Macaca mulatta: one gene and its partner. The protein of the gene in region 2 interacts with the protein of the main gene of each other region in a biochemical or structural test. Links are inferred from orthologs where the notes say so. Each region holds a gene or a part of one and is shown on either strand. Other genes may lie near its edges. The genes, in order: IFNAR1 and STAT2.

Region 1 (3,818 bases), on a different chromosome or scaffold from region 2:
AAATATAGCTTTGTCTTTACAGCCCCCTGAAAGGGCCTCGAGGACCTTTGAGAACTACTACTACAGGGAAAGCAGGAAAAATAGAGCCGTAGCAGGAAGAAGATACAGGTTTAAGGGAATTTTTGTTCTTTTTCAAAGATGTTAGATTTTGCATCATGCAAATGAATGGCTTGGAAAGTGAACTGCTCCGGCGATATTTACTGAGGAATATAATTCAGCAACTTCTTCTTACCTTTGCGAAATGGTGTAAACGAGTCAACCTCACACCATGAAGAAGTGTTTTCTTTTTCTGCTCTTATACGCAATTTAATTTCATCATAAATGTTCAGCTTGAGCGAAGAAAAGTTGCATTTGGTACTAGTCATATTCTGACATCCAGGCAATTTTATCCAATTATCCATCTCAGGTCTTTAAAGTAAAATAAAACAAATGAATGAGTGAGCAAATGTATAAGTATAGTCAAATACTTTATATTTACTGGTTTAAGAGTTATTTCTTAACTCTTAATAACTCTCGTTTAAGAGTTATTTCTATTTTTAGTTTAAGAGTTATTTCTTCTATTTGAGCTAATGTCCGATTAACATTTCAGGGTACACCCTTCCACTCTTTTTCAATGCATATAAGCCAAGTTATTACTTATAAAATTGAATTTTAAAATACAGTTCTTTATATAATTTTTTGGGTGGTTGCTTTACGATTTCAAGGAAGCAGAGAAATAAATGACCTATAAGGTAAAAGTGGATTTAGTATGTTGGCTCTGTTAAAAATAGCTGTGTGACTTCTGGTAAACTATTTTATGTTTCTGGATCTTATCTTCCTTACTGAAAGTTCGGAGCCTGGTCAACATAGCAAACCCTGTCTCTATGAGAAAAAAAAAAAAGGCAAAGCAGGGTATGGTGGCATGTGCTCATAGTCCTAGCTACTAGGAAGGCTGAGGTGAGAGGGTCATTTGAGCACAGGGGTTCAAGGCTGCAGGCTGCCATAGGTTATGATCATATCACTGCAATCCAGCCTCAGCAACCGAGTAAGACCCTGTCTCTAATAAAATAAAATTAAATAGAAATTGGAGAATTGGATTGGATGATTCCTTTCTGACCTCCTCCTATGAATAGACTTCCCTAAGAAAGACCTCGGAATCAGTATGGTTTCAGGGTTTCCACAGCCCTCTCAAAGACCATCCCTTCTGCTTGCCTGTCTCCGTAATTTCTTCTATTACATCATCAGAAACCACTTAAAACGTTTACATAAACAAATTAATTTTTGGAAGTGGAACTGGCCAATCAAAAAGCTGAAGTGATTGATATTACCTTTTGAAAAAGGGGCAAACATGAAGAAATCAAGCGCGCAGGGGGTGCCTAAAGCAGAAAAGGACATGTTGCTCAGAAAGGGGAAGAGCTTGCAGGGAAAGTGAGGGATAGAAATGAACTTAGTAGCTTTCTTTTTTTTTTTTTTTTTTTTTTTTTTTTTTTTTTTTTGAGACAGAGTCTCACTCTGCTGCCCAGGCTGGAGTGCAGTGGAGCAATCTTGGCCCACTGCAACCTCCACTTCCTAGGTTCAAGCAATTCTCCTGCCTCAGCCTCTCAAGTAGCTGTGATTACAGGCATGTGCCACCACGTCTGGCTAATTTTTGTATTTTTTCGTTTTTTTTTTTTTAGTAGAGATGGGGTTTTGCCATGTCGGCTAGACTGATCTTAAACTCCTCACCTCAGGTGACCTGCCCACCTGAGCCTCCCAAAGTGCTGGGATTACAGGCGTGGGCCACCATGCCTGGCCAATTTAGCAGATTTCAAAGCTTTTACCTATGTTAAGCCCATCAACTGTAAAAGTAGCAGGGAAACTATCTTCTGGGAAGGCATTTTTGTCAAGCCTAATTCATTAGCTGATTTATTTATTTTTAATAATATCACAGATGCCATTTTAAAGATGATTTAGATACTAGAAACTAGAAATAATACCAAAATAATTTTGCTGCTGAACCAAATACTAGTCTACCTTATTTTTCAAAACGGAAACATTTTAAAGAAATTACCAAAAATATACACTAGCATATGAAATACTTCATTCTTGGTCAGTTTTCACTTCCACTTTACATATCTGAGGCCTGAGATTAGAGCTGGCATTAAAAATATCTTAAACATTCTTGAAAAGGTTCCACATCAGAAACTATTTCTAAAAATCCAGAAACTCTTGTTATAAACAGAAAACCTTATCAAAAACTTGAAACTTAATATAATTTCAACCCAACCTCACTGTTCACATCTGTCTTTCCTATTTCAGGAGATGCTGATGCATGCTCCATTAAAACTGTTTCACATCTAATCAAGATATTGCAGCAGAAGCTACTTTTATAGTTTCTTAAAAAAATCATTATTGGCTGGGTGCAGTGGCTCACACCTGTAATCCCAGCACTTTGGGAGGTGAAGGCGGGTGCATCATCTGAGGTCAGGAGTTCGAGACCAGTCTGGAAAACATGGAGAAACCCCATCTCTACTAAATATATCAAGGAGATAATAGGAAAGCCTGATCACAGGAAACCTCGTGGCCTATTCCAAGGTCTTGGATGGGCCTTTTGGAGTACTATGCCGTATCCTCAAGATACACCCTAGTTCAGATCCCAACTTATATTGAAAGAAGCTGGAACACCCAGAGGAAAGAAGGAATGGCTATGGCTTAGAGATGCTGTCTACCACCTTCATCCCCAATTTTTTTGCTTCAACACCCAAAGATGTATTTGACTAAGTCTCTACAGAAACAAAGTTAAAAATACTATGTAAAATAGGCATAACATTTCTAAAAAATAGAAGAACCAAATACTTTCCAAATCTGAAAATTATGGTGCTAAACTTGTAAAAATGATTCAGGTCATTCTGACAAATCAGTAAGTAGAGTCACATACTTTTGATAATCGAATGAAAAAGTCACATTCCCGACAGATTCTTCACTCCTGTTCCACCTCAGGATAAAGTTGTCATCTATGACGTCAACCTCTACTTTTTGAGGAGATTTTAGATTTTTTCCACCTATAAAGGCAACAAGAAATAAGAACATTATATATAAACTCTACAGATATTCTAAATGTTACTCTATCCCTCACATCCCTGATTAAAGAATGAATACAGTAAAATATAATGAAGTATATTTTAAAAATCTAAAAAAATCTAATGATTGCTCCCAGCACAGGGATGCTGGTAATTACATTTCTGCATCTGAGAGAGCTGGAAAAAGAGTTGATTTTTTTTCCTTTTTGAAAAAGGGTTGTCTTTTAATTAAAAAACGAATGGTCTCTGCATGAAAATAGAATTTTTCTTGGCCTTATTAGTGACACTGATGAGTCACTCTTATGATGAGGTTCAACTGTTTTATGGCCTCAGTGTGATTTCACATTGTATGTTCAGAGAGAGATAGAGATGCTTCTTGATTTACAATGGTGTTATGTCCTGATAAGTAAGGGTGAGTCCTAGGGGCAATCAAGTGCTGGCTTCCTCCCTGCAGTACTCCTTGTGGTAACACTGTCACAAATAACTGACCAGTGCCAGGAGTCACCTGCCCAAGCAGTGCCTCTGAGCCCTGGGTAGTACCAACAGCAGCTGTACTCCCTGATGTCGTACCCCCTGCCCCATCTCCCACTGCAGGAGTGGGAAAGTATAGTGTATCTCAGCAGCTGTCCCCTCTGTGTTAACTGTATCATAACTGGTGTAAGCACCCTGGATCACCACCTGGGTCATGGATTGAGTGGTAGGATAGCCACTGATGGCACCAGTGCCCTCAGTCTGGACATCCAGCTGCCCCTCACACACCTGATCACCCTGCGCATCACT
Region 2 (3,818 bases):
CGGTGTTCTGGCCAGCCAACAGTGGGTCACCATTCGGCATGATTTCTTCAATCTTTACACAGTTTCTGAAGACTAGGTAACCCAGAGAGAAAAGTGAGGCCCTGATCTTAGTTAGGAATTCCCAACCCAGCAAGGAAAGGGAGGGAGGATGGCAGGAAAGGCCTGGGAAGAGCCTGAGGGGGAACTTGTGGGATCAAAGAGTAGGGAGGTGGGGGAAGGCATGTGTAATTCCAAAAAAAAAAAAAAAAAGGAATCACAGAATGGACCTCTCTCCAATGAGGAGCTTGGAGCTCAGTTTTTTCTGTAATGGGAGAGGGAGAAGGGGTAGGAAAGGGAATGTGTGCTGTCTTCCATAGCTCTATTTCATCACTTACTTTCCATTGGCTCAGTGTTCAAATGTCTCAGATCACAGGGCAAATCTGGCTCTGGCACTGGCTGTGACACAGGTCCTCGGTCTGGCTCTGGCACTGTTTGTGATACCATGCATAGTGTGGGCTCCATTACAGGCTCCAGAGTGGACTCCAGCACAGACTCTAGCTCTGGCCCCAGATCCAGCCCTGCCTTCAGCAGTGGCTCTAAGTCGAGGCTGAGCTCTGGCTCTGGCGCCAGCCCTAGTTCCAGCTCTAACGACTCCAGCTCTGGCTCTAGCTTAAGCTCCAGCGGTTGTTGTAGTTCATCCACCTGTCTGGATACCCAAAGACAGACAAAGGGGCAGGGCTCAGTGGTTTAAATGAAAGAAGGAATGGTAGAACAAGAAGCAGCTAGTCTAAGAAGGCAGAAGAGCAGAGGGCTAAAGATCATGGAGTTCGGAATCAGGCCTCCTGGAGTTTGAATCCTGGCATTTACTAGCTGGGGGAACTTAGGCAAGTATCCTAACTTTTCTGAGCCTCAGATTTATCATCTATAAATGAGAACAATACCTAGTAATTCTTGAGAGGCAGTAGGGTGGTTGAAAGCAGGGCTATGGAATCTAACAGACCTGTATCATTTATTAGCCATGTACCTTAGGTACAAAACTTGACTACTCTAAATCCAGTTCCTTAGCTGAAAACAGTAACAGTGTTTACTTCAAAGGACTATTTTGTAGATTCAATAAAATGAGAAAATAAACATAAACCATTTAGCCTAGTGCCTGGCACAAAATAAACTTTCAGGCCAGGCACGGTGGCTCACACCTGTAATCTAAGCACTTTGGGAGGCTGAGGCGAGCAGATCACTTGAGGCCAGAAGCTCAAGACCAGCCTGGCCAATTTGGTGAAACCCCGTCTCTACTAAAAATACAAAAGTTAGGCCGGGTACAGTGGCTCACGCCTGTAATCCCAGCACTTTGGGAGACCAAGGTGGGCGGATCACGAGTTCAGGAGTTTGAGAGCAGCCTGGCCAATATGGTGAAACCCTGTCTCTACTAAAAATACAAAAATCAGCCAGGCGTGGTGGTGGTGCGTGCCTGTAGTCCCAGCTACTTGGGAGGCTAAGGCAGGAGAATCACTTGAACCTGGGAGGTGGAAGTTGCAGCGAGCTGAGATCATGCCACTGCACTCCAGCCTGGGCAACAGGGCGAGACTCTGTCTCAAAAAAAATAAAAATTAACCAGGCATGGGTGGCGCTAGCCTGTAATCCCAGCTACTCAGGAAGCTGAGGCAGGAGAATTGCTTGAGCCTGGGAGGCAGAGGTTGCAATGAGCTGAGACTGCGCCATTGCACTCCAGCCTGGGCAATGAGGGCGAGACTCTGTCTCAAAAAAAAAAAAACTATCCCCAGCCAAGTGCCAGGGCTCATTCCTATAATCCCAGCACTTTGGGAGGCCAAGGCAGGACACTGCTTGAGGCCAGGAGTTGAAGACTAGCCTGGGCAACATAGTGATACCCTATCCCTACAAAAAATTTTAAAAATTAGCTGAGTGTGGTGGTGTGTGCTTGTAGTCTCAGCTACTTGGGAGGCTGAGGCAGGAGCATCACTTCAACCCCTCGGTCAAGGCTGCAGTGAGTCATGATTGCACCACTGCACTCCAGCCTGGGTGACAGAGACCCTGTCTCAAAAAAAATATATATAGGCGGGGCGTGGTGGCTCATGCCTATAATCCTAGCACTTTGGGAGGCCAAGGCGGGTGGATTGCTTGAGTCCAGGAGTTCAAGACCAGCCTGGGCAACATGGTAAGACCCCATCTCTACAAAAAACACACAAAAAATTAGCTGAGTTTGGTGATGCATGCCTGTATTGCTTGAGCTCAGGAGGTCGAGGCTGCAGTGAGCCATGATCACACCACTGCACTCCAGCCTGGGCGACAGAGCGAAACCCTGTCTGGGGAAAAAAAAAAAAGCTCCATGCTTGGCATCAAGTAGGTGCCCATTAACACCAGTCATTATGATCATTATTATCCAGAAACCCCTGTGGAGACAACCTAAGGATGGCAGCAGAAAAATATGAGATAGGAGAGACTAGAACTGGAAAAAACTAGAGTGGGCTAGGAGGGAGGGAAGGCTGGGGAGACTGGAATAGGGGCACGTTAGGAGAAGGCAGAAAGGAGAGACTGTGGGAATGGCAGGGCAGAGCAGCTGACCATCGTCCTGGTGCTCCACCCAGGAGCAGGTAATGCCCCCTTTTGACAATTCACTGAAGCACAGCCAAAAAGGACTAGGGAGGATGGGTGGAGAGTTTATATCTCACCTATTAGAGACCACAATGAGCCTGTGTTTCAGGTATTTCCTCCGTTCCTGGAGATTAACTGTGAGGAACATATATAAGAAGCAGAGAAGATCAGTGGGCCAGACACATAGCCTGAGGTTCCCCTCAGACGGTCCTGGCAGTCTCATCCCCATAGGAACCAGCAGTATCCCATGGACAAATCCCTTAACTCCTCTAGATATCAGTCTTCCCATGCTTGAAAGGAAGGAGTGGGATCTATGGATGTCTGAAGATCTCTGCAATCTAGCAATGAAGTATGTCAACAATTCCCACCTTTCTCCTGGTAGTAGCACCCAAAAGCTTCATCCCGGGGGATTCGGGGATAGAGGAAGCGCAGTGGGTTCTCAGGTATATTCTCCTCAGTGAGCAACTGGTAATGGCGGATGATTTCAGTCAGCGGGAGTGACTGCAGCACCTCCTTGGTGTACGGTTGCACAGAGTAGATGAGCACCTTGTCTGGAGAGTGAATGCAATAACAGGCAGGCTTGAGGGAAGAGGCCGGGCCTTGGAGCTCCCTGCTCTGGCTCCCCAGTCCCAAACCGGTTGAGGGATGCAGGACAGAGCCAGGGAAGCCAAGGGCAGGCAGAGGGGCAAGAGGGGAGCCAGGCAGAAAGGAGAGGCTGTGGGAATGGCAGGGCACAGCAGCTGACCATCATCCTGGTGCTCCACCCAGGAGCAGGTAATGCCCCCTTCTGACGATTCACTGAAGCGCAGTAGAAAGGTGCCAGAGATGGTTTTCTTCAGCAGCCGGCGCTCCTGGCTCCGACTCACAAAGCCCATGATGCGTCTGGAGCACAAAGAGCAGCTGTGAGCCGTCCCCCAACCCCCTGCCCCACCAGGCCCCTGCCTCCCTGCTCCCCTTGTATGGAGAAATAGCCTAGGTTTGGAACCCAGGTTTTGGACCAAGCTCTGCCACTTAGCTTTTTTATCTTTTACAAGTCACTTCACTTTGCTGACAACAGCGACCTTCCGAGGGTTTGAAGAGGTACGAAGATTCAGTGAGATCACACAGATGAACAGCACTCTTTTTTTTTTGGGAAAGAGGGTGTCATTCTGTCACCAGGCTGGAGAACAGTGGCATGATACAGCTCACTGCTGCCTCCATGCCTCGACCTACTGGGCTCAAGCAATCTT

Evidence for each region.
Region 1: the proteins of STAT2 (region 2) and IFNAR1 form a complex in vitro, tested with the Homo sapiens proteins (2 studies listed by BioGRID). The link is inferred for Macaca mulatta from reciprocal best matches to the Homo sapiens genes STAT2 and IFNAR1.

What each region holds. Positions count from the first base shown.
Region 1 is NC_133408.1:14,046,794-14,050,611, forward strand, and holds part of IFNAR1 (interferon alpha/beta receptor 1 precursor), read right to left. Parts: exon of another isoform or gene 3,232-3,818; intron 3,021-3,231; coding exon 2,897-3,020; intron 409-2,896; coding exon 233-408; intron 1-232. UniProt on the Homo sapiens protein: Together with IFNAR2, forms the heterodimeric receptor for type I interferons (including interferons alpha, beta, epsilon, omega and kappa).
Region 2 is NC_133416.1:63,514,254-63,518,071, forward strand, and holds part of STAT2 (signal transducer and activator of transcription 2), read right to left. Parts: intron 3,472-3,818; coding exon 3,335-3,471; intron 3,141-3,334; coding exon 2,958-3,140; intron 2,725-2,957; coding exon 2,667-2,724; intron 686-2,666; coding exon 375-685; intron 73-374; coding exon 1-72. UniProt on the Homo sapiens protein: Signal transducer and activator of transcription that mediates signaling by type I interferons (IFN-alpha and IFN-beta).